4 linked regions of the Stegostoma tigrinum genome follow. The protein of the gene in region 3 purifies or fractionates together with the protein of the main gene of each other region. This does not show direct contact. Links are inferred from orthologs where the notes say so. Each region holds a gene or a part of one and is shown on either strand. Other genes may lie near its edges.

The links.
Region 1: the proteins of ywhae1 (region 3) and cep170aa purify together in Homo sapiens (affinity purification with mass spectrometry; 3 studies listed by BioGRID and IntAct, with this or other methods). This does not show direct contact. The link is inferred for Stegostoma tigrinum from reciprocal best matches to the Homo sapiens genes YWHAE and CEP170.
Region 2: the proteins of ywhae1 (region 3) and c1qbp purify together in Homo sapiens (affinity purification with mass spectrometry; 4 studies listed by BioGRID and IntAct, with this or other methods). This does not show direct contact. The link is inferred for Stegostoma tigrinum from reciprocal best matches to the Homo sapiens genes YWHAE and C1QBP.
Region 4: the proteins of ywhae1 (region 3) and tbc1d1 purify together in Homo sapiens (affinity purification with mass spectrometry; 4 studies listed by BioGRID and IntAct, with this or other methods). This does not show direct contact. The link is inferred for Stegostoma tigrinum from reciprocal best matches to the Homo sapiens genes YWHAE and TBC1D1.

Annotation. Positions count from the first base shown.
Region 1 is NC_081362.1:83,728,937-83,736,634, forward strand, and holds the start of cep170aa (centrosomal protein of 170 kDa), read right to left. Parts: upstream 3,017-7,698; 5' UTR 2,900-3,016; intron 2,603-2,899; exon of another isoform or gene 2,584-2,602; intron 1-2,583. Other genes in the region: sdccag8 (serologically defined colon cancer antigen 8 homolog), read left to right, coding at 3,628-3,691.
Region 2 is NC_081380.1:3,374,927-3,382,518, forward strand, and holds the start of c1qbp (complement component 1 Q subcomponent-binding protein, mitochondrial), read right to left. Parts: upstream 3,011-7,592; 5' UTR 2,952-3,010; coding exon 2,720-2,951; intron 2,175-2,719; coding exon 2,024-2,174; intron 567-2,023; coding exon 479-566; intron 1-478.
Region 3 is NC_081380.1:46,892,377-46,899,693, reverse strand, and holds the start of ywhae1 (tyrosine 3-monooxygenase/tryptophan 5-monooxygenase activation protein, epsilon polypeptide 1), read left to right. Parts: upstream 1-4,299; 5' UTR 4,300-4,804; coding exon 4,805-4,868; intron 4,869-7,317. UniProt on the Homo sapiens protein: Adapter protein implicated in the regulation of a large spectrum of both general and specialized signaling pathways. Binds to a large number of partners, usually by recognition of a phosphoserine or phosphothreonine motif.
Region 4 is NC_081354.1:97,047,490-97,054,881, reverse strand, and holds the start of tbc1d1 (TBC1 domain family member 1), read right to left. Parts: upstream 3,006-7,392; 5' UTR 2,774-3,005; coding exon 2,390-2,773; intron 1-2,389. UniProt on the Homo sapiens protein: May act as a GTPase-activating protein for Rab family protein(s). May play a role in the cell cycle and differentiation of various tissues.

The sequences.
Region 1 (7,698 bases), on a different chromosome or scaffold from region 3:
CTATGGATGTCCAATCCTGTGCTCTTTGTAAGTTTCAGTTTATCCAAACTTCCGTCCCTCTTAAACCTAAACAACTCGAACCCAGTCAAAAAACATCTTGCAATTTTTTTCCCCTTTATTCATTCATGGGACAAGGGCGCTGCTGGTTAGGCAGCACCCCTAATTCCCAGAGGGCAGTTTAACAGTGAACCACATTGCCATGGGTCTGAAGTCATATGCAGGCCAGACTAGGTAAGGATGGCATTTTCCTTCCCTGTAGGACGTTAGTGAACCAAATGGGTTTTTCCAACAATCAACAATGGATGCATGGTCATCATTAGACTCTTAATTCCAGATAATTCTTTTTATTGAATTCAAATTCCACCATGGCTGGATTCGAACCCAGGTCCCCAGAACATTATCTGGACCTCTGGATTAACAGTTTAATCAATAATACCACTATCGGAGTCAATCAAGTATTTCTGAAGTACAGTCATATTGTAAAGGTTGAAAACCCATCAACCAATTCACATACAAGCTCCCACAAACATGATAATGGCTGAAGAAGTTGTTTTGGTTACGAACAGATAAACACTGGCTGGAAAGCATCAGGGATAACTCCTCTTCTCTGAAAAGATGTCATGGGATCTTTTATATCCACCTGAACAAGCAGATGCACTAATGTTTAAATGTCACTCCTGAAAGACAGTCAACCAAGGACTGCTGGTGCAAAGGTTACAGTAAATTGTCTTGTTTCTCATTCTTTCCACTGATTCTAGCCATTCTGTGTAGCACTTTCCTGTTTTCTTTCATTTTCAAATTAAAAATTGAAACATATTGGAAAATCATGCTTATAAAAAGGGGAATAGAAGAAACAGTTTTCAGTTTAACTAAGAATCTGTTAAAAGTATTAAAAGTACAAAAAGCAAAAAAAGATTGAGCTAGAAAGAAGGATAATTATCACAAATAATGAACACAGCCGGCCAAGCAGCTGCTTGGCCGGCTGTGTTCATCCAGCTCCACACGGTTATCTCGGATTCCCCAGCATCTGCAGTTCCCATTATCTCTGATAATTATCATAAACTTTAGTCTACAATGCAAAAGTTCAGTTAATAGGGGTCAAAATTTCAAGATTGCCAGCAAGAGAGCTAGGACTGAAGCAAGGAAAAACTTCTTTATTCAGTTATTAGAATTTGGAATGTGCTACTTGGAGAGAGTGGTGGAGGCGGATTCCATAGGTTACAAAAGGAGGCTAGGCAAGTATCTAACTGATAAAATCACATTTCAATCAATGGTACGATTAATTTGGGAACATCTTTAAGTTACAGATAAAAACAGAATGAAGTATTTTAATTTAGAATTTACTAGTTCTGCTAGACTTCCAGATTCACAAAATTCAAACTGGACAAATTTTTACTTAAGACTCAGTTGATTGTCCTCAACTGATTAGTCTATTACAGTTCAGGCTATTTGTGGTCCTGTACAGCTTTTTGATACATATACAGATGAGACCATATAGTTTTCAGTTTCCATGGTCTGTCTTACTTATGCTGCAGAAAGAAATCTAATAATGTTCCAAGTTAAGATTTATCACAAAAAAAACAACACTGAAAAGTTCCAGCACGGCAACTTCCATTTTATGATTAGTAAAATAAAGGTTTCCTTCTTGCTCCGTCCTTTGAAAGGGCCACAAAATAACGCATTGTTTCACTGTCAAAAATACTAAAATACACGTCTTACAGAAACGAATGGGACTCAACCTACTTGAAAAGTCTGTCGATATAAAGCACAGAGGAAAGGAACACATTGCTGAAATGAAAGCCGAAAAGGAAACACTCCAGCCAGTTTCATGTGACCCTATTCCCTTAGCGGGAATGTACAGGAACAGGAAACATTTCCTGTGAAACGTTTCTGAAGAATTTTATAAATGAATTTACTGGGCTTCTAATGCAGGAAGGCCAATAATGTAATACAATCTAATCATTACGTTTCAAAACGAGAAGTGATGGCTAGTCTGTTCCACAAGATTTGCAATGCCCTCACTACACTGGCAGTGTGCCAGAAATTTGCTAATAGTCCCTATCCAGCTATGCTACTTTTGCATTACTGGATTTTGTGTAACAATCAGAGCGGAATTGGTTAAATCATTAAGACGCGTCGGCTTCACCGAAAACAAGGGAATTTCTACGGGTATTGAATATCTCGAACGATCGACAAAAAAAAAGATGCAGACCTTCGGATGAAATTCCGTGGTGTACCCCAAAGCTTCCTTTGTTCGAGGTAACAAAAAGAAACATGAAAAAATGCATCGACATGATCGTTCACCGGTTGGGTACTACTCATTCGGATCCACTGACATGTTAATTAGAAAGCGTTTCACTTAAAAGAAATCTTGATTAAAATCCATTAAATTAAGGGGAGGAGTGAAATGCAAAAGAACATTAAATCTCGGCATGCCGTTTAGACTAAATTCGGAAGATAGTATGAATAGTTTACAGTAAGGAACGAGGAGCACAGTTGGGAGGGGAGGAGGAGGAAAGGGGATATTAGTAAAGGGTGAAAGAGGAGCCAAATGAATAAAAGAAAATGGATAGCCATTTGAACCTCCAAACGCCTTCTCGTTTTCAGCTGCCACTCGTTTCAAATGAAAAACGGTGGGAATGTCGACAATCCAAAATAATAGCTTGAAAGAAGTAGCCCATGAAAAAGTCCACGGACCGCGACCTGTCAGGTGGCGATTGCGGGATGGTCACTTCTACGAGACGCCCCTCCCCCACCCAGCAGCATTTTATACACAATCCCTTGAACCGTTATTCCATTTCAACTTCAAAATACTAAAATCGATCCTCCCCTCCTCCAAGGCGGGAGCGCATAAACCGGTAGCCTTTATCACCTCAGCATTTCCGTATAGCATACTCACCCTAGCAGGGCAACTGCCCTGCCGAAGCTCAGACAAACATCAGCAACCCGCCCGTTGCTCAGCAATAACGTTATTCCACATAGCGGCCGCTCGAGCAGAATAGACGGGTAGGCGCTGGGTGGGGGGGGGAAGAGATTGTTTGAAGCATGCGCAGAGCACCACATGCCATAGCCACTGTCCAAAAGCCTGAGGCTCCATCTCGGCGAAGCCAACACCCCCTCATGATTGACGGAGTTCTTGACCAATCGCAACCGCAAGCATGCCGTCACCGCGCCAACCGCGGCTGTCGGGGGCTTTCACAGGGTGGGATCGAAAGTGTAGATCTCTGGAATGAAAGGAAGGGCGGGAAGAAATAAAGGCAGGTACCCGGATTCTCCCGCAAGCGTTTCTGGGAATTGTATTTCCTTTGGCCTTCGGCACCTATCCTGTCGACCGTCCAATGCTCCGTTCCTGCCGACAGCATTGACTCTCAAGTAGAAATACAAACCCCAGCATTCGCTGCGGAGACTCCTCCTTCGCTGAACCTGATGTCTCTATGGTGAAAGGAAGCCCAAAGTTTAATTTGAATTCGGTGCTGATTGGTTCAGGGGCAGCGTCCTTTCAGCGGCGCTGGAGTTTAACCAAAGCCGTGCGGAGCGTTTCCAATTATCAACCTTTCTGTTTTGCTGTCAACGTTGTTTTTTTTAATCGAGAGGTACTTCTAACCTTTCGCTGTATGATCGGACAACATGAAGGCCTCCTGCGAGTCGAACATCGAGAACGATTTAGAGACGTATCTGAAAGGTTTAAGAGGTAAGCGAACGACCGAATCGAAGGGGCAGGCTTGTTTATAGGAGACAGCTGTCAGTTAAAGGCACGGATAAGCAAGGCCGAGGTTGGTCTCCAAGGCTTGTTGTAACATCTGTATTTGTTGATAAGTTGTACCTTCGAAAAAACAGCTCCTGTGTACTCACATTGCATCAAATTGTTAACTGTGTAGAGATGAAAGTTTGGTGAATTTTCTGGAACTGCTGAAATTACATGTTGTTTGGGGGGCAAACGCCCCATGGACTCCGATGAGAAATATACTGGCATGTGGATTTTGAAGAGTGCTTAAATTAAAAGCACTGCAGTTATGAGGAACAACTGTTTTGCCCTCCTTTCTGTCTACAAAATACGAATATTAAAAAAAAACAAAGACTCGTGATTGTAGGAACTGCCGCTGCTGGAGTCTGATATAACAAAAGCGTGGAGTTGGAGGAACACAGCAGGCCAGGCAGCATCAGAGGAGCAGGAAAGCTGACGTTTCGGGTTGGGACCCTTTTTTCTGAAAATCTTTCTATACTGATTTGTGAATCACGTTCAGTACTCCTGAGATTCGCCATGCAACGATAACAGATTGTCATTTGCAGTGAAACGTTTGTCGACTTGATTTCATTTGAGCCATTGGGCGAATCTACAGTGGTAATGGAGTTACGAAAATAAAGATATACATTTTGAAAATGTATGAACTTAAAACAGTTTATATTAATGTGATACCGGAACGAGCTGATCATCACACGACTTTGCTAGCTCAGGAATGTCCTGTCCAGAATGCAATCCCACTCTCACTTACAACTCCCATTTTGATTTTGCCATTGTTGATGGCCTCTCCTGTCCCTCATTGCTCAGCCTCAACTCCTTCTATTTGCTTTTTCAATTCCAATTATTTACGTATCTGCTCCTGGGGCGGAAAAGAAACATGCACCCTATGTTGCTCACAACTACATTTTCTCCATTCCAGTTGTCTCGCCCTTGGCTTCCCATTCACTATAATGCTTACATATCCACAATTTCTTTAACCGCAGCTCAGTATTCATGCTGATACCTGAGTAAAACCATTGGTATTCCATAACTTAGTTCATCTCCCAATGTGGACTAATACCTGTTTCCTAAGGGTGAAAGGTAAATACAGTGCAGACATGGATCATGCAGTCTACTATGTTTGTGTAATTCATTCTGTTCTTGTACAGTTTTTTTGGTATACATCCAATTTTCTTCTGAAAGTTACAATTGAATCTGCATTTGTTCTGCTTTCATGTTTAATTATAAGCTATAAAATGGAGGAGCAGAATTCGGCCATTCAGCCCACTAGTTCTTATCTGCCATTCAGTCATGACTGAGATGTTCCTCAACACCATTCTCCTGTCTTCTCCCATAACCTTTGATCTCCACATCAATCAAGAACCAATCTATCTTTGTCTTAAATACTCTGTATAACTTGACCTGCTGCAGCAATAACTTCCACAGATTAGCCACCCTTTGGCTGAAGAAATTCCTCCTCGTCTCAGTTCATTCCAGGTTATAGCAGATTACATCTCAACCATGAATGGCAGAGCAGACTTGATGAGCTGAATGGCCTAGTTCTGGTCCCATGTCATATGACTTATAGTTAAACATGAAGGCAGAATAAAAAGATTCAATTGTAATTTTCAGAAGGAAATTAGACGTATACCAAAAAAAATTGTTCATCTGCTTTATGGTCCTTCATGCATAACACAACAGGTTTTCTCATCCAAACCTAGACCACTAAAACCATAAGATGTAGGCGCAAAGGTTAGCCTTTCAATCCATCGATCATGCTTTATTATTTGGTGGGAAAAGTAGCTGATTTGATAGTCTTCAGTTCTACTTGCTTGCCTTGTCCCCAAAAGTATTGATTATGAATTACTAATTATGATCTATTTCTTGCCTTGAACATACGTAACAAGCTACGGCTGTCTATGGTACAAATAAAGTCAGAAGTCAGAATATTAGGTTATAGTCCAACGGGTTTACTTGAAATCTCCAAGTTTTCAAAGAATTGTTCCTTTGTCAGGTGAAGAGACTTAATTTCAAATAAACATGTTGGACTATAACCTGGTGTCATGTGACTTCTGACTTTGTCCATCCAGTCCAACACCAGCACCTCCTCATCATAGCAAACCAGTGAATTAGCTTTTTAAAAAAAAAATCTGAAAGAAGAAATTTCTCCTTGGCTTTGTTTTAAATGGATACTCCCTTACCATGGGATTATGCCCTCTGGTCCTAGGCTCTCCCACAAGGAGCAACAACTTCACAGCATCTATGCTGTCAAGCCCCCTATGTTTCAATCAAGTCCAGTGTCATTCTTCTAACATCCAGTGAATGCAGACCTGGACCACATCAGGTGTTATTGCATCTCCTCTGCCCTTAGTTCTATTACTGCCCTTCTATCTTCAAAAACTCCTGGCCCTGCTCCCACCATCTTTTCTCCAAATACACATGTGGAGAACTAACTCAGCTGCCACCTCCTGGCTGTACCTTTTCAACTAGCCCTCTATCACTGTTCTGCATTGCTAGACTGCTCAGTGCTGTCCAGCCTTGGTGAATTGCATTTTTTTATTGTTAAAATTTGGTGCTGTGAAAAAGTAACAGTAGTAAGCCGTTCAACTCCTCAATGTTTTCTGCTAATCACCTCAACTCCATTTACCCACCTTGTTACCCACGGAATACCCCGAGGCCCAATTCAGTCGTAGTCAGTGACTTTAATGAGGCCAACATTGCAGGTGCTACCAAAATACCATCAACCTGTTTTCTGCCCCACCAGGGGGCCAAATATCCGTGACCATTGCGACACAGCCATCAAAAGTGCTTACTGCTCTATACCCTGTCTGCACTTTGGAAAATCAGATCGCAACACTGTGTCCTACCTCCTGGCTTTTAAGCAGAAGTTGAAACATAAGGACCCAGTACAGAAAATAGCACAGTGTTGGTCCGATGCAACGGAAGAGCTTCTGTGGGACTGCTTGGAATTGGTGGCCTGGCCCATATTCAAGAACTCAGCAGCCATGCCCCCAGGAGAGTATGCTGCTACTGTCATGGACTTCATTAGCAAGGGTGTAGAGGACTGTATGCCAAAGAAGTTAATCCATATATTCCCCAACCAGAAACCATGGGTGAACCAGGAACTCCATTGCCTAATAAAGACCAAGTATGTAATGTTCAAGTCAGACGGCCCTGATCTTCACAGGAAATCCAGATTTGACCTCTGTAAGGCCACTGGAGATGCCAAGAACTAATACTAGACTATGTTGGAGAGCAAAACTAACCACATGGGTACCTGTAGTTTCTGGTAAGGCCTACGTGACATAACAGAATAATGGACAAAATACATTTCTCCCTGATGTGCTCAATACATTTTAGGCTCAGTTGAAACAGAGCCTCAGCAAAACGGTGTCACCTAATCCAACAGCCTCAGCTGCACCTGTTTCATCAGTTATGCTGCAGATTTCACATTGGCCTTTTGGAGAGTGAACCCACAGAAAATGACTGGCCCAGATGGAGTAGTCCACGCACTCAGATCCTGTGCAGTCCAGCTGCCTAGAGTGTTCACTGACATCTTTCATCTCTCCTTACTACAATCTGAAGTCCCCACTTGTATCAAGAAGATCACTATCATTCCAGCACCAAAAAAGACTCATTTAACATGCCTAAATGACTACCACGTGGTGGCTCTGACCTCCATAATTACAAAGCACTTCAAGAGGTTAGTCATGGCTCATGTCAGCTCCAGCCTCTCAGCCTGCCTTGACCCATTGCGATTCACCTACAGTCTCAACAGATGGTACACAGCATCTCCATGGCCCTGCATTCATCCTTGGAATATTTAGATAACAAGGATACCTATGTCAGGCTTCTACTTATTGTCTACAATTCTCCTTCAACACTATAATTCTAACCAAATTAATCTCAACCCTGAGACCTTGGTCTCTGCTCCACCCTCTGCAACAGTATCCTGAACTCCTGACCCACAGTGTGTA
Region 2 (7,592 bases), about 44 Mb from region 3:
ACTGCTGTAGCGCTAACGTTAGGTTGGACAAGGGCAAGAGGGTAAGGCCTATAGCAAGTTACCTTCCACATGCCTTGACTGTACCCAGATCCACCTCTCCGTACCACCCAGTGAGACCACACGTCCAAATACAGAACTCGTATGCCCAGGTAGGTTTTTACAAAAGTTCAAGTTCAACCCATTCTGGTTCAAACTTTTCACCCAGTCAGTTATCGAGACCAATGGCGTTCACTGTTCTAATATTGCCTGCTTTGGGATTCTAGGAAATAAAGTGGTGCTTTAAAGGGCTTTTAAATACTCATGTACATTCTGTTCACATAGACAGACCTCCAACTCCTATCTATACAAAATTCCACTCAACCCAGGGCACAGGATGAACAATACACAGTGGAGTTTGTTTAATTAATGCCTGTTTAATTACCTCTCAACTTTACTAAGGTGACAGTCAAGAGTACTGTGCAAGTTCAATCCAACTCACCTCATTCTCTGAACCCTTCTGTCCTTCCTGTGGTTCCTCCTCCATTGTTGGCGGAATGCTGTTATTGATATTAAAGGAGACTGTAACTCTACAAACAGAAAGAGGTAAATGGTCACTATGGATAAAGAAGTAGTCAAAAAGGTGTCACCAGCTGCAATTCTGAACTGCAAAGAATCGGAGAATGACAGGGAGCACGTTCTGATCTCAAACTGCTCACAGCCAAACTTCATTTAAAACTGGGACTAGTAATATATTTGTCATGACATTTAAGAACTTGACAATGATGTACTAAAGCTGAATACTGGTCCTGCACAGGCTAAGGAACTATCAGAATCTACATGCAATGGTGAACATTATAATCTTAATTTGATACTGTAAGCTTTCTAGACTAAATATACAGTGAAATTCTATGATAACTCAGCTCAATATACAAAACTGATTATGGTTTGGGGGGGGGGGTCTTATGAGTTCAAAATTAATTAAATCTCTATTTAATCCTCATTTTGCTTGCTAAAAATTTTCTCGTTAACATGATGCATCTATTATGCAATCTCACTTATTAGACTCTAGAGTCCAAGTTATAACAGACTCCCATTATAGAAGCGCTGTTGTCTTGTGCAGGTTCACAGGCACATGCTTCACAGGAGGCTCCACAACACTGAGGATGTCACCCAGTAAACAGGACAAAATATCTGCTACCAAACCTCCCAGCTCGGCAAACACACCAACATCTACAACCAGTACTGCAGCCACAAATCTTCACTCAAATCCTGGACTTCCAAATGTATTTCAACATATTTTCTAAAATTAAAATGCATTTTTCAGAGTGTAGTACATACTCATTCTACATTCAATTCTTTTGGGGCAGAAGTAACTGGTGCTGAGGTATTGGATTGTTGGCTTAGTTTTCACTTGACTGAGACGTTGTGGATTTAAATGCCCTGCTCCAGGAGTTTGTATATTGATAAAAACAATTACTGCTGATTCAGATCTTAAATACAAGCTGCTGGAGAAATCCAACAGATAACGGCACCATCTCCAGATCCAAAAATGTTACACTGGACTCAATGTTATTTGCTTGGGGAAGCGAAGGCCTGGAGATATTAGCTTTAAGCTATTAATCTGACCGTGGCAAACAGATTTCCTTCCTAAAGAAAAGAAGCTGTCGTTCTTACCTGGTCTGGCCTACACGTGACTGAGGATAACATGGTTGATCTTAACTGTCCGCTGGGATAGAGGATAAATGCTGGCCCTGCCAGAGACACCCATGAGGGAATGAAAAAGAAACTTTAACAGAAACTATCAGCCATGTGGCCTTTGTTACGTACTCCTGTCCATCATCTACTGCACAACAGGAAGTGCTTTCTTTAGGATGAATTGTTAAAGAAATACCATCAAGTTCAGGTGAGATTTTAAAAACAAATCCATGGAACTTGTTTAAAAAAAAACAAATTCTTTTCCTATCCACAATCCACTGACATGATTTTAACTAAAAACATACAAATTGGCTGCTTGCCCAAATGATACCCGAGTGACCTCACTTACTTTTCACCATCAACTTTCCTTACAAGTTTCGCCTCAGTCCCATTCAGCCCAATTTCCCAGCCTCCTGACACCTTCGGCAGTGTTGAACTCTTCTGGATTTTCTTCTCCTCCTTGATTTCATCAGTGAGAAATTGAGCGAATGCTTTGTCACCTACAGGGACAATGCAAATCCAGCCAGTTGAGATCAGATACAAGAACACCCCATCATGTTTCACACAGACAGCGACCCAAAGCTCTCGCTGGTTTCACAGCCAAGGACTTGGCCCTGAAGAAGAGGAGACCTTCAACTTAGAGCCTAAGTTATAGAAGTCAATAGTATAGAAAAGGGCCCTTTAAACCCATTGAGTTTAAGAATAATCATCTAACCATTCTAATCCCACTTTGCAGCACAGCCTGGGTGGGATTGTCTGGCCAAGTTGTGGACAGCAGTGCACAGCACACCAGAGCAGAGAGCCCCACCATGGAACCAGGGAGAGGTGGGCGAGGGGCTGAGAACAGGGATGGGGAGCTGGGGGGCGGGGAACCGGGACGATGGGGAACCTGGGGGGGGGGGGTTTGGTGGTGGTGGGCAGGGGACCTGGGGGGAGGGGGGGGGTTGGTGGTGGTGGGCGGGGGACCTGGGGGGGGGGGGGGGGGGGCTTGGTGGTGGTGGGCGGGGGGGGCGGGGACCGGTTGTGCACCCACCCCCTCCCTTACCCTCCGTGTGCAGGGCCCCGCAGCCGCAGGACACGCCGTTGAGAAGGTGGCTGGAACGGAGCGGCCTGCGGCCCGAGGCCGAGCTGGAAAGCAACCACATGGAGCGAGCGAGGCCGCGGATCCCAGGGGGCCCGGTCCGCAGGACGGAGGCGATCGGCGGTGTCAAGGTGGCCTGAGGGCCCAGGCGGGAGGAGACCGACACGAGCCGGGACAGGAACGAGAGCCTCAGCATGGCAGCAGGGAACGGCGTGAAGATCGTGACCCGGAACCGGAAAAAATCAGAGCAACACCATGTTCCTCCCACCCCCAACCACAACCTATCAGCTGCAGGAATGGAGGAACCAATCAGCTGCAGGGATGGAGGAACCAATCAGCTGCAGGGATGGAGAACCAATCAGCTGCAGGGATGGAGGAACCAATCAGCTGCTGGGATGGAGGAACCAATCAGCTGCTGGGATGGTGGAATCAATCAGCTGCTGGGATGGAGGGAGCAATCATATATTCAAATTGAGCAGCCAAAGAACGATTGGGATCCTTGGATGAATCCACTCTTAAGAGTGAGGGACCAATTAACTGCTTGGATTGAGAGACCGATCAGTTTCTGGGCTCGCAAGACCAATCATCTACTGGGATGAAGGGACCAATCACCTGCTGGGATCTAGGGAACAATCATTAATGGGAAAGTGAGACCAAACAGCATCTGTGATCGAGGGAACAATTAGTTGCTGGGGTTGATGGAGAAAACAGCTGCTAGGATTGAGATACTCATCCGCTTCTGGAATCAAGAGTCCAAATCAGCTGCTGCAATTCAGGGGCCAATCATCTTCTTAGATCAAGGGACTGGTAGCTACTGGCAATGAGCACTAAATGAGATTCTGAGATTGAGGGACTAATTGAGCGGAGGTGTAGCAGTGCTGCGTTCAAGCTCCTGAGTTTGTCCACATACATCTGCTTTTCTTTTTAAATTCCTTTTTGCTTTCGTTTTCTCCTTTTTTTGGTGATGGATGTTGCCTAAGCATGTTCCGGAAGCAGCAGGAGGAAATTGGAGGTGGCTGCTTCAGTGCTGAAGGGATTGTGGCTTTGTCAGGTCTGGAGCGTGGAGCGACGGAAATGTGGAAAGAGCGAGAGGTGACTGAGGTCTCCCCGCATCTGTGACAGCAGTGGTGAGAACCAGACAGCCGACATCTCCCAGAGACTGAACTAAGCAAAGGAGTTCGAGGCCACAGCATGCCTAAGCACACAAGAAAATGTTGCAACTTTAACTTTAATTTCTTTATTTTTCCAATTAATATTAAGGACTTTAATATTAGCTATTACTTTATTTCTCTATTTTTCTGTTTACACCATGATAAACTGTAATGTTTAACTTTTAACATTGTTTCTCTCCTTTACCACTTTCTACCTGGGTACCATTGTACCTGAGAGATAGTAAGAACTGCCGATGCTGGAATCAGAGATAACACAGTGTGGAGCTGGAGGAACACAACAGAAGGGTCCCAACCTAAAATGTCAGCTTTCCTGCTCCTTTAATGCTGCCTGGCCTGCTGTGTTCCTCCAGCTCCACGCTGTGTTACCATTGTACCTAAGATGTGGCAACATTGTACACTTTTCATCTGACAATAAAACATCTAAGTCTAAAACCAAATTTAATCAGCTGCTGGGATTGAGGGACCAATCAACTCTGGAAATGGATGGAACCAATCAGCTGCTTGAGCTGAAGACACAATCAGTTACTGGGATGAAGGGATCAATCACCTGCTGGGATCGAAAGATCAATTAACTTCACGGGATGGAAACACCAATCAACGCTAGGATTGAGAGACCAATCAGCTACTGAGATCAAGGGACCAATCAGCTGCTGCGATGAAGAAACCAATCAGCTTCTGGAATTCAGAGAACAATTAGTTACTGGAATTGGTGGAGCATTCAGCTGGTGGGATCAAGAGACCAATCAGTTGCTGGTGTGGAGGGACCAGTGACAGTGAAGTTCAAAGATCACAGCAACCCCAGTGGGATCGAGGGACCAATCAGCTGCTGAAATGGGTGGAACCAATCAACTGCTGGTTTTTGAACCAGTCAGCTGCTGAAATGGGTGGAACAAATCAACTGGTTCAAAAACCTAGCAATCAGCTAGGGTAAAGGGATGAATCAGCTTTAGGTGTTAAGGAACCAATCAACTCTTAGAATTGAGAGATCAGCTTCTGGGATTGAGGGGCCAATCAACTGTTAGGATTGTGGAACTAAACAGCTGGTGATTTTGAAAAACAAATCAATTGTTGGAATCAAGGAACCAATCAAAGGCATCTAGTCCCAATTTGATACCTGATTTCAATGACAAAAGGGATACAGGATTGTGGAAGGGAATTGTTAGATTGGATGTCTTCCACCTTCACAGGATACTGGATATCACTTGGAGAGACAACATCTAAAAAGATATGCTGCAATAGTCTGGACACAGGTGACTACTGAAGATTGAGAGAGAGATTCAACTGAGACCGACAGGATATATAGTCTCTCTCCCGCCAAGTCAGGAAGGCTGTAATGAGTTGGATCAAAGGATGAGGTTTTGTTCTTTGAATTTACATTGAACTTCATTAGAAAATGGCAGCAAACTGAGGACAGTGAGGTCAGAAAGGAACAAAGTGGAACCTTGAGATCGTGCTTATGGACTGCATGGAAATGTTCTGCAAAGAATTGCAGGATTGTTGCAGCATAGAAAGAGACCATTCGGCCCATTGTGTCTTTGTCAGACCTCAGGATGTGCAATTTGCTCAGAGCCTTTCCTCCATAGCCCTGTACTGTCTTCCTTTTTCAATAATAATCCAATTCCCTCCCAAAGCCATTGACTGAATCTGACTCCAACAAACTCTCAGGTTTTGCATTCCAGATCCTAGCCACTCCATGCATTGCAGAAGTTGATGGGTTGACTAAACACAAATTGGGTGCCTGCTTTCTCATCATGTCTGGAAGCAATGGAGACACAAGTTTGCCCTTGAGTTTAATGATTTTAGATTATAAGCTCTGCATCACTTTTTATTTGGAAACTACTATTGCTGATTCTATTTCTCTTAATGACAGAAACTCTGGACACAAGCTTTATTTCTTTATTAGATTTAGTTCCCCTCTAAGATTCCACTGCTGGCCCTGGTAATTGCATTTGGATGATGTTGCCTGGAGGTTGTGTGTTGTCTCATCACCTTGGAATCAGAGGTCAAACATAGAAAATGCTGGTGCTAAGGTGAAGAAACAGATAAGAGAAGACCTAGACCTAGACAAGCTCTACCTACGTTTGTATAGTTGCCTTAGTCTGGGAGATATATTCTCAGTGTTGGACATCAAGGGGGAACATCAGAAACAAATAGAAGGAACCAAATCAATTCCATCTTTTGACCATCTGGTACATTGTCCATGTAGAACTCTAAACCTATAATTGGATAATGCCATTACTTGCCACCTTCCAAAGTCCCTTTCCTCCCTAATCCCTGCCTAAAACATTGCAGCTTTTAATTCCAGTTGCTGTCCATGTTTAAGCTAGGTCTCAGCTATAGTCACTACATTAGAATTAGCTTTTGCACATGTACTGAAATGATGACAGTGAAAAGTTTATAAGTCCTCACTTAACGCACCATCTTAGGTACAAAGGTACCTAAGTGCAGCTTCTTTAGTTACAAGATCTTAGAAAACAGAGAAATGAAAAGCCCAGCATTGCAGAAATAAAAGTTCAGAACAAGGGTCTTCCAGCCCAGACCATGCTGGCACCTAGCCACCAGGCCTTGGCTCCAGACTGCACGGGGTTTCACCTGGGAGATTGCTCTGGAATCACCTCAAGACTGGGAGTCCACGCTGAGGCCAGACCAGCTCAAGAGACCATCATGCCACACTGGACCACTGCCACGGGAGGCCACTATGTCAGGCTGAGAGGACCTCTCATCATGTTTGTGCTGAGGCCAGGAGTCAATTGAGGGCAGGAGGGAAGAAGAGGAAAAAGACAATGAGCAAGAAAAGAGCAGGCAGAGCAGACAAGCTTTGGCTGAAGCGTCATACTCTGTCACCATCTTGGACCACAGCTCCATTTGTTTGATCTTTTAAAGTGATATGCAAACCAAGCAAACGCGATGTGAGAATACTTTTTCACACAGCATGAATCAGGATATTGAATGCATGACCTGGAAATGTGGAGGCAAGTTCAATTGAAGCATTCAAGAGAGCTTTGGATACTTTTGGATAGTAATGGTGTGTTTGGGGTATGGGAAAGGAAAGGGGATTGGTTATAGATAATACATTCGGTGCAGGGACATTTCTGCTCGAATTCTGTGATTCTGATTTTCTATGTACCTTGTCTTGCTTTGACTGTGTTTCGTTGTCTCACGCCATGTCAGTTTTATCCTCTTTTACTTTTTCGTCTTCAGCTTTTTGTCCCTCTGCCTTATCCTGTTACTTGTGTGCAGCAGGAGGAAAATTGAAAGCAAAAGAAAAATGGTGAAAGGAAAGACAACGAAGGAGAGAGCAGTTAAAAGGACTTTTGTAGCTTAATAAATGGGGGCGTCAGAGTGCAGGGCTGCAGGCAGCCTCTGGTGGCTGCAAAAGCCTATGGCACGTGGTATTCCCAGGCAGTCTCCCACCCAAGTACTAACCAGGCCTGAGTCTGTTTAGCTTCCGAGATCAGATAAGATCGGGCACTTTCAGACTAGTATGGTTGTATGCACATGCTGCCTGCATTTTCTGCTCTTTAAAGGTAGGCAGTGCTGACAACACTGTGTTATGTGTTTGTTCATACTTCTCAGAAGGATTTTTGTTGTGTTTATACATTTATATATGTGTTGCTAACACTTTGTTCCACTTGCTGGTTTTAATGTTTTCTTCAAGCCTCTAA
Region 3 (7,317 bases):
AATGGCAAAGGGCGGTGGTTGGATTGTTTCTTATTGGAGATGGTCAGTGCCTGACATTTATGTGGTGGTGAATGTTATTTGCCACTTATCAGCTCAAGCCTGGATATTGTCCAGATCTCGCTGCATTTGAAATGGGCTGCTTCAGTGTCTGAACATTTTGCAATCATCAGTGGACATCCCCACTTCTGACCTTATAATGGAGAGAAGGTCACTGATGAAGCAGCTGGAGATGGTCCTGCAGAGATGTCCTGGAGCTGTGATGAGTGATGTCCACCAACCATGTCCATCTTCCTATGTGCCAGATATGACTCCAACCAGTGGAGAGCTTCACCTATGATATCCATTGATTCCAGTTTCACTAGGGCTCCTTGATGCCACACTCAGTTGAATGTAGTCTTGATGTCAAGGGCTGCCACTGTCACCTCACCCCTGGAATTCAGCTCTTTTGTCCATGTTTGAACAAATCTGTAATGACATCAGGTGCTGGGCGTCACTGAGCAGGTTATTGCTGAGCAGGTGCTGCTTGATAGCTCCGTTACTGACACCCTCCATCGCTTTACTGATGGTCGAGAGGAGACTGACGGGCGGTAATTTGCTGGGTTGGATTTGTCCTGCATTTAATGCACGGGACATACTTAGGCAATTTTCCACATTATCGGATAGATGCCAGTGTTGTAACTGTTTTGGAACAGCTTGGCTATGGGAGCGGCATGTTATGGACCATATGTTCAATATTATTGCTGGAATGTTGTTGGGGCTCGTAGCCTTTGCAGTATCCAGTGTTTCCAACCCTTTCTTGACATGTGGAGTGAATGGAGTGTGCAGTGGTCACACTTACCAGTACCATCACGGACTGATGTGTCTGTAGCTGGCAGATTGGTAAGGTGAGGGCATGTTTTTCCCTGTCATGACTGTCTTTTTCCTTCTAGGTGGTAAAGGTTGATGGTTTGGAAACTGTTGTTGGATGAGCTTTGGTACTAACTGCAGCACATGTTGTAGATAGTACATGGTACTGTCACTGTGTACTGGTGGCGGAGGGAGTGAATTGGTGAATTTGGTGGATGTGATGCCAACCAAGTGAGCTGCTTCGTCCTGGATATGTGAAGCTTCTTGAGTGCTGTTGGAACTGCATTCACCCAGGCAAATGGGAGGCATTCCTTCACACTCCTGACTTGTGCCTTGTAGATGTTGGACAGGATTTCGGGAGTCAGGTGAGTTACTCATCCAGAATTACCAGCTCAGTATTTTTATAACTGGGCCCGTTCAGTTTGTGGTCCGTGTCAATCCCAGGATTGAGTTCTGAGGAAGGGGCACCGGACCCGAAACGTTAACTGTTTTTTTGCCTTCACAGATGCTGCCAGGCCTGCTGAGCTTTTCCAGCAATCTTTGTTTTTGTTCTTAATTCCAAGAGGTCAATTTTACATTGTTAAAATAAGTAACCGTGGTATGAGAAAAAGAATTTTCATGCAGTGAGTATGAAGGTCTGGAATACATTGCCTGAGTGTGGTCAAGGAAGTTTAAATTGAGGCAGGCTGACTTTTGGAAAAGGAAAAATGTGCAGGGATACAGAGAGTATGTAGGATAATAACACTGTGTGCAGTGCTGACTTGGAGAGCTGGCGCAGCCAGGAAAGGCCAAACAGCCTCCTTTTACAATGTAAGTCATAGAGTCATACAGCACAGAAATAGACTCCTTGGTCCAACTCATCCTTGCTGATAAAGTTTCCCCTAAACTAGCCTCACTTGCCTGCATTTGACCCATATCTCTCTAAACGTTTCCTATTAACATACCAGCCCAAATGTCTCTCAAATGTTATAACTGTACCTGCATCTAATGAACCACCCTGTCTAAATTTAGAGACATCAGAACCTGGCTGAATGAAACTTAGGAAAGTACATCTTCTTTCAAGCCACAATTTCAAATGTTTTAGAAAGGTGTTTTCAGCCTAATTTGTAGAAATTTTCTTTTTTATTGTTTGACAATGTCCAGTTTATGCATTGCAGAAATAAACTTTAAAAATAATTTTAAGAGCTAATTATAAGTGCAAACAGGTAACTACTTTGAGCTGTAAAAATAGAGTTTTGTCTGGTTAGATTACTCTTGTGTTGTATGCATATGAGTTCTGAAAAGCCTAATTATTTCTGTAACAAAGTTGATCAGTCAGCCCTCAAGCCTTGTTCACCAGTCATTAGGTTACGAATTGTTTGTACTCCAATTCCAAATTGTGTGATTGTAGCCCCTTCCAAAAGCTTGTGATTTCAAATAACTTGTTAGACTGTAACCTGGTGTCATGTGACTTCTAACTTTGTCCACCCCAGTTCAACACCGGCACGTCCAAATCCTGTAATGATCTTAAAAATGTATCAATCAGGCTCAGGTTTGTAACACATTAAAAACAGAGAAATCAGAGTTAATGTTTTGTGTCGAGTGACCCTTCTGAGAGGAGTTCTGAGGAAGGGTCACTCTACCCAAAACATTAACTCTTGATTTCTCTCCCCAGATGCTGCCAGAACTGCTGAGCTTTTCCAGCAATCACTATTTTTGTTTCAGATTTACTGCATCTGCAGTTCTTCTGGTTTTTAAAAAGACGTCAAATTGGCTCAGCGTCCATAACTTTTTCTACTACTCTTTATGAAATGTTTTTCTGATTTTACTTATAAACTGCCTGCCTCCAATTTTAAGGTCACATCTCTTTGGGGCGACATGGTGGCTCAGTGGTTAGCACTGCAGCCTCACAGCATCAGGGACCTGGGTTCGATTCCAGCCTCAGGCGACTGTCTGTGTGGAGTTTGCACATTCTCCCCGTGTCTACGTCGGTTTCCTCCGGGTGCTCCGGTTTCCTCCCACAGTCCAAAGATGTGCAGGTGAGGTGGATTGGCCATGCTAAATTGCTTGTAGTGTTCAGGGGTGTGTGGGTTGTAGGGGAATGGGTCTGGGTGGGATGCTTTAAGGGGCAGTGTAGATTTGTTGGGTCGAAGGGCCTGTTACCACACCGTAGGGAATCTAATCTAATCTAATCTCCTTCTCTTGGGATCCCCTGACAGAGCAGAGAGTTTATCTGCATCACCCAATCATCAGAATTCTATGGTAGAAGGAGATTCATCAATGTTTGTTACATTGAATGTCAAGGGGCAATGATGAGATTTTCTCCTTAGAAATGGTCAGAAATCATACAACACCAGGTTGAGTTCTGAGGAAGGGTCACTGGAACTCAAACATTAACTCTAATTTTTATCTTCACAGATGCTGCCAGACATGCTGAGCTTTTCCAGCAACTTTGTTTTTGACACCAGGTTGTAATCCAACAGATTTATTTGAAGACACAAGCATTTAGAGTGTCAGCCCTTCTTCAGGTGTTGAACATGGTAGGTAATTGCCTGGCATTTGGATCACCTGAATGTTACTTGCCACTTGTCAGTCCAAATCTGGATACTGTCCAGATCTTGCTGCATTTGTGCAACACGGTTCAGCATTTAAGGAGGGTTAGGGTCAAGGAAATGCCAGCTTTCCTGCTCGGTTCATCCAGCTCTACACTTTGTTATTTCAGTATTTGAGGAGTTGTGAACATTGTGCAAATATTGGCCATCATCCCTACTTCTAACCTTATGATGGAGTCGAGGTCAGGGAACAAGCAGCTGAACATTATAGTGCCTAGAACACTGGGAATTCCTGTAGAGATGGCCTGACAGTTGGAGGTGACTGTCCTACTTGGTTTCAGAATGCCCTGTGTGCAACGATTCCTTTTTATTTTCCCTTAAAGCCGAAGACATTGATCAACAAATGAATTAATGGAGAATATTTTCCTTCGAGTGGAATGCATTGAGCAGCCTGCTTTTTTGCAAGTATGTATAATTTTGCATGCAATTTTTACATATACGTGTGCATGCTACTCTCCATACGCCCACACTACCCTTTCTCTTATAGCAGCTGGCGCTCTTTCCGCAGCGCGGCCAGACACAGCGGCCTTGCCCACACTTTTGCCGGCGCTCCGCTTGTGCCACCTCACCGGCGCGGAGCGCTCGCCCGAAGGCGCGGTGCCCGGCACTATGGGCTTTGTTGCCTTTTCTCACCGCCCTATGATTCCACCCGCGGGGAGGGGCGCGTATCCTTCCGCCGTCATCCGCGCAGGCGCACAACCCCACCCGACAGGCTGAAGCCCTTTGGAGTGGGGAAGACGGAAGGGAAGTAGTGCGGCCGCCGCTTCACTACCCGGCGGCGCGCAACGTGAGAGCGCGTGTGTGTGTGTGTGTGTGTGTGTGTGAGGGAGGGGGGTAAAGGAGGCGCTGGGATAGCGGAGCCCGGAACTATACCCTGTCTGTCCGCCATTTTGGCAGCTGCTCGGCGGCGGGTGCGAGCGGGCGAACAAGGTTCGTGTGTGAGCGGCTCGGCTGCTTCCTGAGGACGGCGGTCGCTCCCTCCGTGTCTGCCTCTCGACTTCGCCTCGCCTTCTCTGCCAGTCCTCCCCTCCCCGAACCACACTCCTCTGTCTGCGGGCTTTTAAAGCCTGGGAAGTGAAAAAAAAAAGAAGAATCGGCAAGTGAGATTAGCTCGCTGTTATTTCTTTTCCTGCCGAAGTTCTGCATCCTTCGATCGCCTACCGCCGCCACACCCCTCTTTCCCCCCCCCCCCCCCTGCCGCTGCCGCAACCGCAACCTAAACGGAAAGAAAGGAGCCCCTCTTAAATCAAAGCCGCCGGCGATTTCTTTTTTATTTTTTTTAAAAACGAGGTAATCCTCATCCTCCTCCTTCCCGTCCATCGAGCGCCTCAGCCACCCTCCCTTCCCCACCCCCTCCACCGGAGAACATGGAGGACCGCGAGGACCTCGTCTACCAAGCCAAGCTGGCCGAGCAGGCTGAGCGCTACGACGGTGAGAGATGTTCGTTGTTGTGAGGTGGTTGGGTGGGTTAGTTGTTTTGGGGTTTTGTGTTTGTGGTGCCGGGTTTTGAGCGGTGGGATTTGTCGTGTCTCTCTCTCTCTCTCTCTCCCCCCCCCCCCGGCTCTCCTCACCCTGTCTCTCCCGGCCGCCGGCTTCACAAAATGGCGCCCAGCGGCCGCTCGGTGCCCGCGCTCTCCCCTCTCTTCTCCCCCCCCCCCCCCCCGTTCCTTTTACCAACCCGATCCCGGATCTTTTAAACAAAACCCACCTTAACCCCCCCCCCCCCCACACTCCTCCTTCCCCTACTCCCCAGCCTGGGCAGGGCATTGACTCCAATCCGGCGGGAGGCACGGCAAGATCCCGGCCGTCTTTTATTCACTCTGACCCCTCCCTTCTCCATCATGGAGAGAGGTGCATCCGCTGTGAAAGTCGCCTTCTTCCCACCCTCCCTCTTTCAGATTCTTCTCTTCGCCCCCCCCCCGTTTTCCAGTATAATTTCCCTCGACGTTTACCCCCAGCCTCGGGTTCTGAAGGTTGAATCTTTCGTCGTTTTCCCCCTCCCTCCCCCGGAGCAAAGAAGAAGTACCGATTTGCAGAATGACATTGAATTGCTTCTTCAGTGCTTGGGCAAGAGGACTTGGGTTAATAGATGGCGGTGTATGTCTCCTCTTCACCGCCTTCCCACTGATTTAATTCAGAAAATGAATGCGGTGGAATTTGCGTCTGAAGGTTTAGCGCCCGGAGACTGGGCCAGACCACCATTTTAATTCATGTCTCTGTTTCACGTAAAAAAGAATTCCTGTTCGGAAATGTGAATTGGAATGTTTTAATCCTCATAGTTAATTCTTATACACAATGGGATTAAAGACGATTCTTGCCTCATTCTGCCTAGGCGGAAGTTGCAGGTCACCCTTAGCGCACACATGCTGAGAAATGAGGTGGGGTGGAGGCCAGGAATTCCTTCTCAAACCCAGCTTCTCATTGCAGAGGGTTTTTTTTGTTATTGCACATTTTGACTCAAACTTGTTTTCCCAGATTCTTATTGCAAGGTTTTGTAGACTATTTATTTTAGTAATTTCAACCTATTGACAAGTCTGGGTTCAGCAGTTGTAAACCTAGATGTGGGTTCATAAGCTGTTATGAAATTCCTTTTTGAAATTAAGCTAAATTTAAGCTATGATGAGTTAAGGATATTATTTTTGATGCTATTCATTGTCTCCCTCACACAACAACAGGAATTATTTTGCTTACCTGAAATAGTTACCTGTTAAAGTTCTGTGAATAATTGAGGAAAAAGTATGAATCTTGTTGACGTTTTAAAATCAGTTCCCTTAAGCTAACTGTGAAATTACTAATTAATATAAATTTGACTGTACCAACTGATTTGTCTGTAATATGGGCAACTTCTTTTGGAGGGAGGGGCTATTTGTTTGCAAGTACAATGTAGAAATATTTTAGATTGCTGTAATTTACTGCATTTTTGGTGTGACATGTTTTAAACAGTTGCAGTAACTGTGTGGTATATTGTAATTTCAAAATTATGGATGGGATCTTTTCTGACAAGTGCCATGGGACACTTTGTAAATTAATTTTGAGTGAAAATCTCTAGACAATAGTTGGATTTGACATCTTTAAACAGACTCGGTGGAGCTCGTTTTCAAATATTCATACTGATGGGATGTGGGGTTTCGTTTTTTCTCAATTTTTAGTCATGTCTGGTTTCACTAAAATAATTGCATGTATTTCTTAATTGTGCAGTGTTGGAAGAAATGCACTACATTCTTTGCCATTACTGACTTAGCCATACTGCATGGGTGGCACAGGCAGAGTCCACATACATCCATCAAACAGACACTGTTTCCCATAACTTGTGGTACAATGGCCAAGCAATGGAGTTGATTTAAGATTCTTCGAAGACCTTTTTCCATCAAAGGTGTTTCTAATTAGTAAAGTTCTTCCCATCCTGGTGTATTATGCTGACCAGACTAATAAGATTGTAATGCTTTAGACATGATTTCATTGAGTATTCAGGGCTGAAAGAAACCTATAAATTTGCTTAAACTTAGATCTTTTAACAGAATGAGCGGTAGTTTTTTTCCTAGCAGAAGTAATCTAACCTGAGGGCATTTTTGTTCTTTGTGCTGCCAAACTAAATCCAGGTCTTCCTTACACTGTCGGACAGTCTGCAGTTTCTAAAACTACAAATCTGTTTCCAGTAAATAGTTGTCACAGATGTAGGCTGAATAACCTGTGCGAGATGATGGGGAATAGGGAACTAGGACAATTGCATGGTAAACAAATTTCTGCTACAAATAAAACTGATATAAACAAGCCTTCTATGTCTTTTTTAATTTATAATAGCAATAAAGCTGTGCCAAGGACTTTGACAGTCTTTTGAAAATTTAAATTTTGGAAGATTCGGTAATTAAAGATATTAATA
Region 4 (7,392 bases), on a different chromosome or scaffold from region 3:
ACAGTCCGAACCCTAGTGTTAATGGATTGGGTATGTAGAATGCCAGGGGGAATTTAGGCTTTTCTGTTTAAAAAGTGGTACCTGAGAGATGACCTTAGAGAGATGTACAACACAGCAAAATAATTAGAAATTCTGGTTTCGAAGGTTATATCAAAATAAGTTGTAAATTTGGTACAAAACTGTACAAATTGGAAGGCAAAATTTAAAATGCTTTCAGGAAGTCCTGTTTTATGCAAAAGTCATCAACTATGATTGGGGCTCCCAGACACAATAGTTGAAGTGAAACCCTAGCATTATTTAACAATTAGATGACACAGCACAAGGAATCTAGTCTCTTTCTGAATAGACAAACCAAAATCAGCAAAGTTTTACTTCTTTATCTTGCAATTACAAATATGCTTCAGGCCTCAAGCAACATCATAGGAGGTTAGCTAGTAATACCAACAAACACAAGGCAAACTAACTAACAAAATCTCACATAAAAGATTGCTGCCAGGATTAATTCTCTCTTGCCTCATAATAAACCATAAGTACACTCTCCCAACGCAAACAGCTGAGATCATTCACTTGTGTTTGAATTCGTCAGGAATATCCTGGGGGATACTGCTGTGCTGAAATGGAACTGCATCAACCACAGTAACTATACAGATACGCATACAACTTTATAGGAGTACATCAGAGGCTGGGAATTCTGCAATCAGTAAATCCTCTCCTGACTTCCCAAAGCCAGTTCATCATCTATAAGGCACAAGTCGGGAGCATGATGGAGTATTTCTCACTTGCCTGGTTAAGTGCAGCTCCAACAACACTCAAGCTCAGCAACACCGAAGCTAAAAGCAGCACGCTTGATTTCCACCCCACTCTTTTTCACTCACTTCCTCAGCCACCGACACGCAGTGGCAGCAGGTTTACCATCTGCAAGATGTACTGCAAGAACTCACAAAGGTATCTATAATAACACCTTCCAAATCTGCTGCCACCACCACCCACAAAGCCAAGGCAGCAGGTACATGGCGATATCATCACCTACCAGTTTCCCTCTATGCCACACACATCATCCTGGCTTGGAACTACATCACCATTTCTTCACCGTTGCTGGATCAAAATCCTGGAACTCTCTTCCTAACAATGCTAGAGCTGCACCTGTGCCACATGAACGTCAGTCTCTATGGTGTGTAGGGGACATGTACCAGGTATTTACCAAACAGTTGGCAGTTTGAGACCACCCAGGGATGGAGCTCTCACTGTTCCCCCAACATCCACACCCCCAACCCGCTCACCTTTGATGGTCTGCAATGCCCTTAATGGGCTTTGCTTGTAAATATTCAATAGGCTATAGAAGTATTTTACTGGTGGTATTAGTTTGAAAGAGGTCACAGTGACTTCTGTGGTGGGAAGATCGCTCAGTTGTGTGTAAGAACAGTGTGTAATTCTGGGTAAGATTAAATTTTAAAAAAAGTCATATTCAGAAAAGACTTGACATAAAAGAAAACCTTAAACATGGTAACTTGTACCCGGCACATTAAAGTCCTTTGGGGGTAGGGGCTACAGGGGACAAATGCTCATGGCAAAAGCTGGTCTCTGAAGTGAATCTCATCAGACCTCCCAATCAGTATTTTTAAATGATGAGAGATTTCACTCACTTCGCACTATTTTAAGTAGCAATAATAGAAAGTGGAAACTGTCTCTTCAGCAAAACAAAAAAAGCAGTTTGGGGATACAGCTGTACTTTGTAGCGCACTTTAGTTTGGCTGGTGTGCTGTGGTGGCAGTGCTTCTACCTTTGAGGCAGAAGGCCTGGATTCACGTCCCATACATTCTGGAGATGTATCATGCTATTTCAAAATACCTGAGTGTAGAATGCAGGTGGTGTATTGCGAAACATCAATTGTGGGGCTCTCGTTACACCACAGTAGTGACCCTACCTCTGAGCTAGGAGATCTGGGTTCAAGTCCCACTTGCTCCAGAGTTGTGTAATCGCATGGCTTGACTTAAAATATCTTAGCCGTCAGCCGAAGTGCCACTAAAGGAAGAGCAGGGATACAATTATGTTGTACTCGCCCCTTTTATCTTTGGAAATAGAGTTTCCTTCAGGTTCCATTAATGAAGTATCTCTGACACACACACGCACGCACATATATTGCAAACAATGGTCTCTGTATTAAAGAGGAACTGATGATGGAAACCATCACGTTATGAAATCGTCTTCAGTAAACCAGCCCAAACATTGCACACCGCTGTGTCTCTAACAGGAAGTTTACCCCACTATCAACGATATTTACACTAATGATCACTCAGTGTTTCCAGTAAAAGTTATACATTCTGTTGCACTTGAACTTTCCGTATTGTTCCTGTGGATAGCAGGCCGATATTGGCAGGAAGGGTCTTACCAGCGTGTGATCAGAAGCTCGGAATACGAAGCAGAGACTGTGCTGGGGCTCCGGGCCAGCCTGGCTCCTGGTCAGATAGGCGAAGTAGTTGGGTTCGCTGCTGTAGTGCAGCAGCTTGTAGATGTGCTGGGCTTGCTGCTGGAACACCGGGCTGCCCCCACTCGCTGCCACACACCGCAGCCAGCCCTGGCAGACCTGCAAGCGGACCCTCCGGCTCCCTGCACCCCGGGCACTCCGTCTCCGTACCTCCGCCACCACCCAGGGTAGCATGGGCATGGTGGTGAGCTGGTGAACCGGCAGCGAGCCCACCAGCTGCAGGCTGAAGCGCTGCCCTTTGGCCCCATGGCCGAAGCTGCTCCTGGCCAGCCGCCGGTCCGACTCCATGCTCGGCCCCTGCCAGCAGCAGCTCGCTCTGCCTCTGGCTGCAGAGTCACTGCACGCCGGATCCAACCCCGTCTGCAACTCACATCCGCCCACATCATTGCAGTGCACCTTCCAAATGTACCAAGCCCCCAAAGTACAAAGCTACTGAAGCTCCACCACAATCACTCCTTCAGAAATTGCAAACGCACTTGCTGTTTCCTTTGCATTCGGGCAAATGCCTGGCGCGATGTCTGCGGATTTACACTGCACGGTCGGACCAAGGCTTTTAGTTATAGCGTTTTATTCGGAGTCAGAGCACGGGAAGGTGCCGCGCTGGCGGAATTTCCACATTGCTTTAAGCCGCATGCCAAATTCTGTGCCCATTTCCGACCGATTAGGAGAGACTAAAAGAGTTGATCAAATTTATGAAAGATCTTGACGGGGATCCCCAACTGAAACATCTTTCTGCTGGGTATGGGAGGGATGAAGTGGCTGCATAAACATCGCACGAAGAGGCAGGTTGAGAGTTTTGTCGGCATTGGTTCATGATAGAACCAGCAACAAGGCATTGCACCTTTAAGGTGCTTGTAACATAAACCAAGATGCTGCACAACGACATAACTTGTCAGAAATGGGCGGTGCTGGCTTTAGGAAAGGTGGCCAAAGAAGCCCATTGTTAGAAAGGTCTTAAAAGGGGCAGGGATAGCCGAACGGTAAAAACTTTCAAGGGCCAGCACAAGAAGTGCTAGCTTTGGACTGTTCTATTGAAATTAGAGCAACCATCAGCTCTGTCCACATGACTAAACACAACGTCCGTTCTTCTGCGTAAACGTGGAATTAAACCCATTACTGCGCTCTGGACTTTGCAGATGTAACTGGTGATACATTATACACTGACCAAAACACACTGCCTTCCATTGAAACCTGAATCAGGTGGGTTCATGATGAATTTAGATAGCATTCATTTTTCATCGTCAGAACCATGACCATAACCTTTGAACTTGTTTTGATTCTGAATTTTCCTGTGCAGTCAAGACGTTTGGTTTTATAAATGCTTTCCTGCAGTATTTTATACTCAACATTTTACCTCCTATAACAACAAATTCTTTGCAGGGGAAGTGATGGTGTCATGAGATTTTCAATGAACTAGTAATCCAGAACCATGGGATAATGCGCTGGGGAAACAGTTTTAAGCCTCACCTTGACAGATGGTGAATTTAAATTCAAAAGAAGCCTGGAATTAAAAAGCTAGCCTTACTAGAGCATAGGAGGTTAAGGAGTGAAATTAGAAGTTTATAAAATCATGAAGAGTATAGATAAGGTGAATGGCAGGTGTATTTTCCCCAGGGTGGGAGATTTCAAGACAAGGGAGCATGATTTTAAGGTGAAAGGAGAAAGATTTTAAAAAATACATGAAGGGCAACTTTTTTTACACAAACAGTGATTCATGTGTAGAATGAACTTCCAGAGAATGTAGTGGACACGGGAGGAATTACAATGCCTTTTAAACATTGGGATAAGCACATAATAAGAAATGTTTGGGGGGATATAGGCCAAGCATAGGCAGGTGGGACTAGTTTAGTTTGGGGCTATCGTTGGCGTAGACTGGTTAAACCAAAGGATTTGTTTCCGTGCTGTATGACTTCATTAACCAAAACAAATAGGTTTTTAAAACAATCTAATTCATGTAGAGAAGGGAATTTGCTATGCTTACCTGGTCAAATCTCGATTGGACTCTAAAACCACAGTAATATATTTAACTCTTAACCGCCCTCTGACATAGTCTTATAAGCTATTCAAGGACAATGAGGGATAGTCAACAATACCCACATCATATGAACGGATTTTTTAAAAAAAACTGATATCAGAATTTGCGATAGGGTGGATAAATATTAGATCCTTCAGAGATGTCACTAATTAAACAGCATGTAATTCAGAAGTAAAAACAAATGCTGGCTATAGATGGGTGCACTAGGAGAACCAAGGTAGGATGACAGGTAACATCAAAATGTGGCAGATGATTTACAAATGTACAGGGCATGAACCAAAGTGAACTTGTGATGATTGTCTTTTGTGACAAACACAATCTAGTGGAAAGTCATGTTCGATTTCAGCCCCGTCTTACCACACGCGATTACCAAAACAAATCACCACACAGTGGGTACCCCGGACCTCAGCAGCAACCCCTACGGCCACACAATCTGTCAAAGCTCATAGTGCACCCAAAAAAGCTGCCCAGCTCCTGACATTTGGCCTGGACATGGCAGACCAGAGGATATCGATGCCCGGCCTTGCAGCAGGGACCTGGAGGTTAGGATAGACCTGCTGGATTAGGTGGTGCAGAGGTGTGACTTCCTATTCTTCCAGGACTAAGAATGGAGGCTGCAATGCCAGAATATGCCACTTTGGTCCAAGGTTTTAATCTATACGTCCTTAGCTTGCCATGATCTGCCTGTACTGCTCAAAAACAAAGCTTTTCACTGTATTTCAGTACACGTGACAGTAAAATCAAAATCATAATAAACAAATCAAAGGTTAAAACTGTTTCAGCCATCTGGAAGAATGTACAATGCACTGTCATAAGAAGAACAGCTATCGGAGGCTCTCTTGGCTTACTGTGCCAGGACCCTTTGAGCAAAAGTTTGACTGAGGCCACCTGACACCAATGTTAAGCTTCCTCCATTTGTGTCAGTGCTAAACAGCAAGGCAAAATAGAAACAATAAATCTCATATCTCTAGTGGTGGATGCAACATACAGAGTGACATAACAAAGCCATGCAAGGTAAAGATGCTATAAGCATCCAAATAGGCTCAGAGTAACTGAGCACTATGACATTACTTTGCTCCAAACTTCACAGAGGAACACACGAGTAATATCTCAAAAAATTCGAGAGAGTCAGAGGCAGAACCGAGTATGTTGGCCATCACCAAGGAAAAGGTGCTAGAAAAATTGAATGGCCTGAAGGTGGACACATTACCAGGGTCAGATGGACTACACCCCAGAATTCTTAAGGAGATAGCTGAAGGGATACTGGAGACATTAGTGGTGATCTTTTAAGAATCACTGAAGTCAGAGAACAGAGAACTGGAAAATTGCTAACTTGACACCCCTGTTTAAAAAGGGAGTAAGGCAAAAGATTGAAAATTACAGGCTGGTTAGCCTAACCTCGGTGGTAGGTAAGATTTTAGAGTCTATTGTGAAAGATGAGATTTCTGAATACTTGGAAGTGCACGATAAAATAGGGAAAAGTCAGCATGGCTTCAGCAAGGGGAGGTCATGCCTGACAAATCTGTTAGAACTCCTTAAGAAAGTAATGAGCAGGTTAGACCAAGGAGAGCCAATGGATGTTATCTACCTGGACTTCAAGAAGGCCTTGACGAGGTGCCACAGAGGAGGATGCTGTGTAAGATAAGGGTCCGCGGTGTTAAAGACAAGGTGCAAGGATGGATGGAAGATTGGCTGTCTGGCAGAAAGCGTAGAGTGAGGATAAAAGGGTCCTTCTCAGGTGGCAGCCAGTGACAAGTGGTGTTCTGGAAGGGTCAGTGTTGGCGCCACAACTTTTCACTTTGTACATTAATGATCTCGATGAAGGAACTGAGGCTGCAGAAGGACTTGGACAGGTTAGGCGAGTGTGCAAAGAAGTGGCAGATGGAGTACAACATGGGAAAGTGTGAGGTCATGCACTTTGGTAAAAAGAATAAAAGCATGGACTACTTTCTAAATGGGAACAAAAATTTAGAAGTCTGAAGTGCAAACAGACTTGAGAGTTCCAGTCCAGGATCCTTCCAAGGTAGACTTGCAGGTTGAGTCAGTAATTAGGAAGGCAAATGCAACTTTGACATTTATTTTGAGAGGACCTGAATATAAAAGCAGAGATGAAGCCCTATAGGGATCTGGTCAGGCCACATTTGGAGTATTGTGCACAGTTTTTGGCCCCATATCTCAGCAAGGATGTACTGGCCCTGGAGCGGGTTCAGAGGAGGTTCACAAGAATGGTCCCAGGAATGAAAAGCTTAACATATAAGGAACATTTGAGGAATATGGGTCTATACTCCATGGAGTTAAGACGGATGAGACAGGATATAATCGAAACTTACAGAATACTGGCCTGGACACAGTGGATGTTGGGAAAACATTTCCATTGGTAGGAGAGGCTAGGACCTGAGGGCACAGCCTTAGAATAAAGGGAAGACCTTTTAGAATGGAAGTAAGGAGAAACTACATCAGCCAGAGAGTAATGAATCTGTGAATTCACTGCCACAGAAGGCTGTGGAGGCCAGTTCATTGAGTATATTTAAGACAGAGATAGATAGGTTTCTCAACCCCATTCTCCTGTTACCCTTGAAAAATCAAGAACCTGTGTGCCTTGATTGAATGGTGGAGCAGAATTGATTGGCTGAATAACCTAATTTCAGCTCCTGTGTCTTATGGTCTTATATTCAGCAAAAAGGCTGGAGATGCAGCCTGGTCCAGTCCAATGAGCAGGGTGCATATCTCAAAGCGCAGTGTCCTTGCTGTAGCATTACAATGGTAGTTACCAATGCAATGATGTGCACTTAGAGATGGGCATTTCAGATGCCAATGTCTGTGAACAAGTGCTGTGTGGATGGTGGCCATGGATTGTGCCCTGAGATGGTGG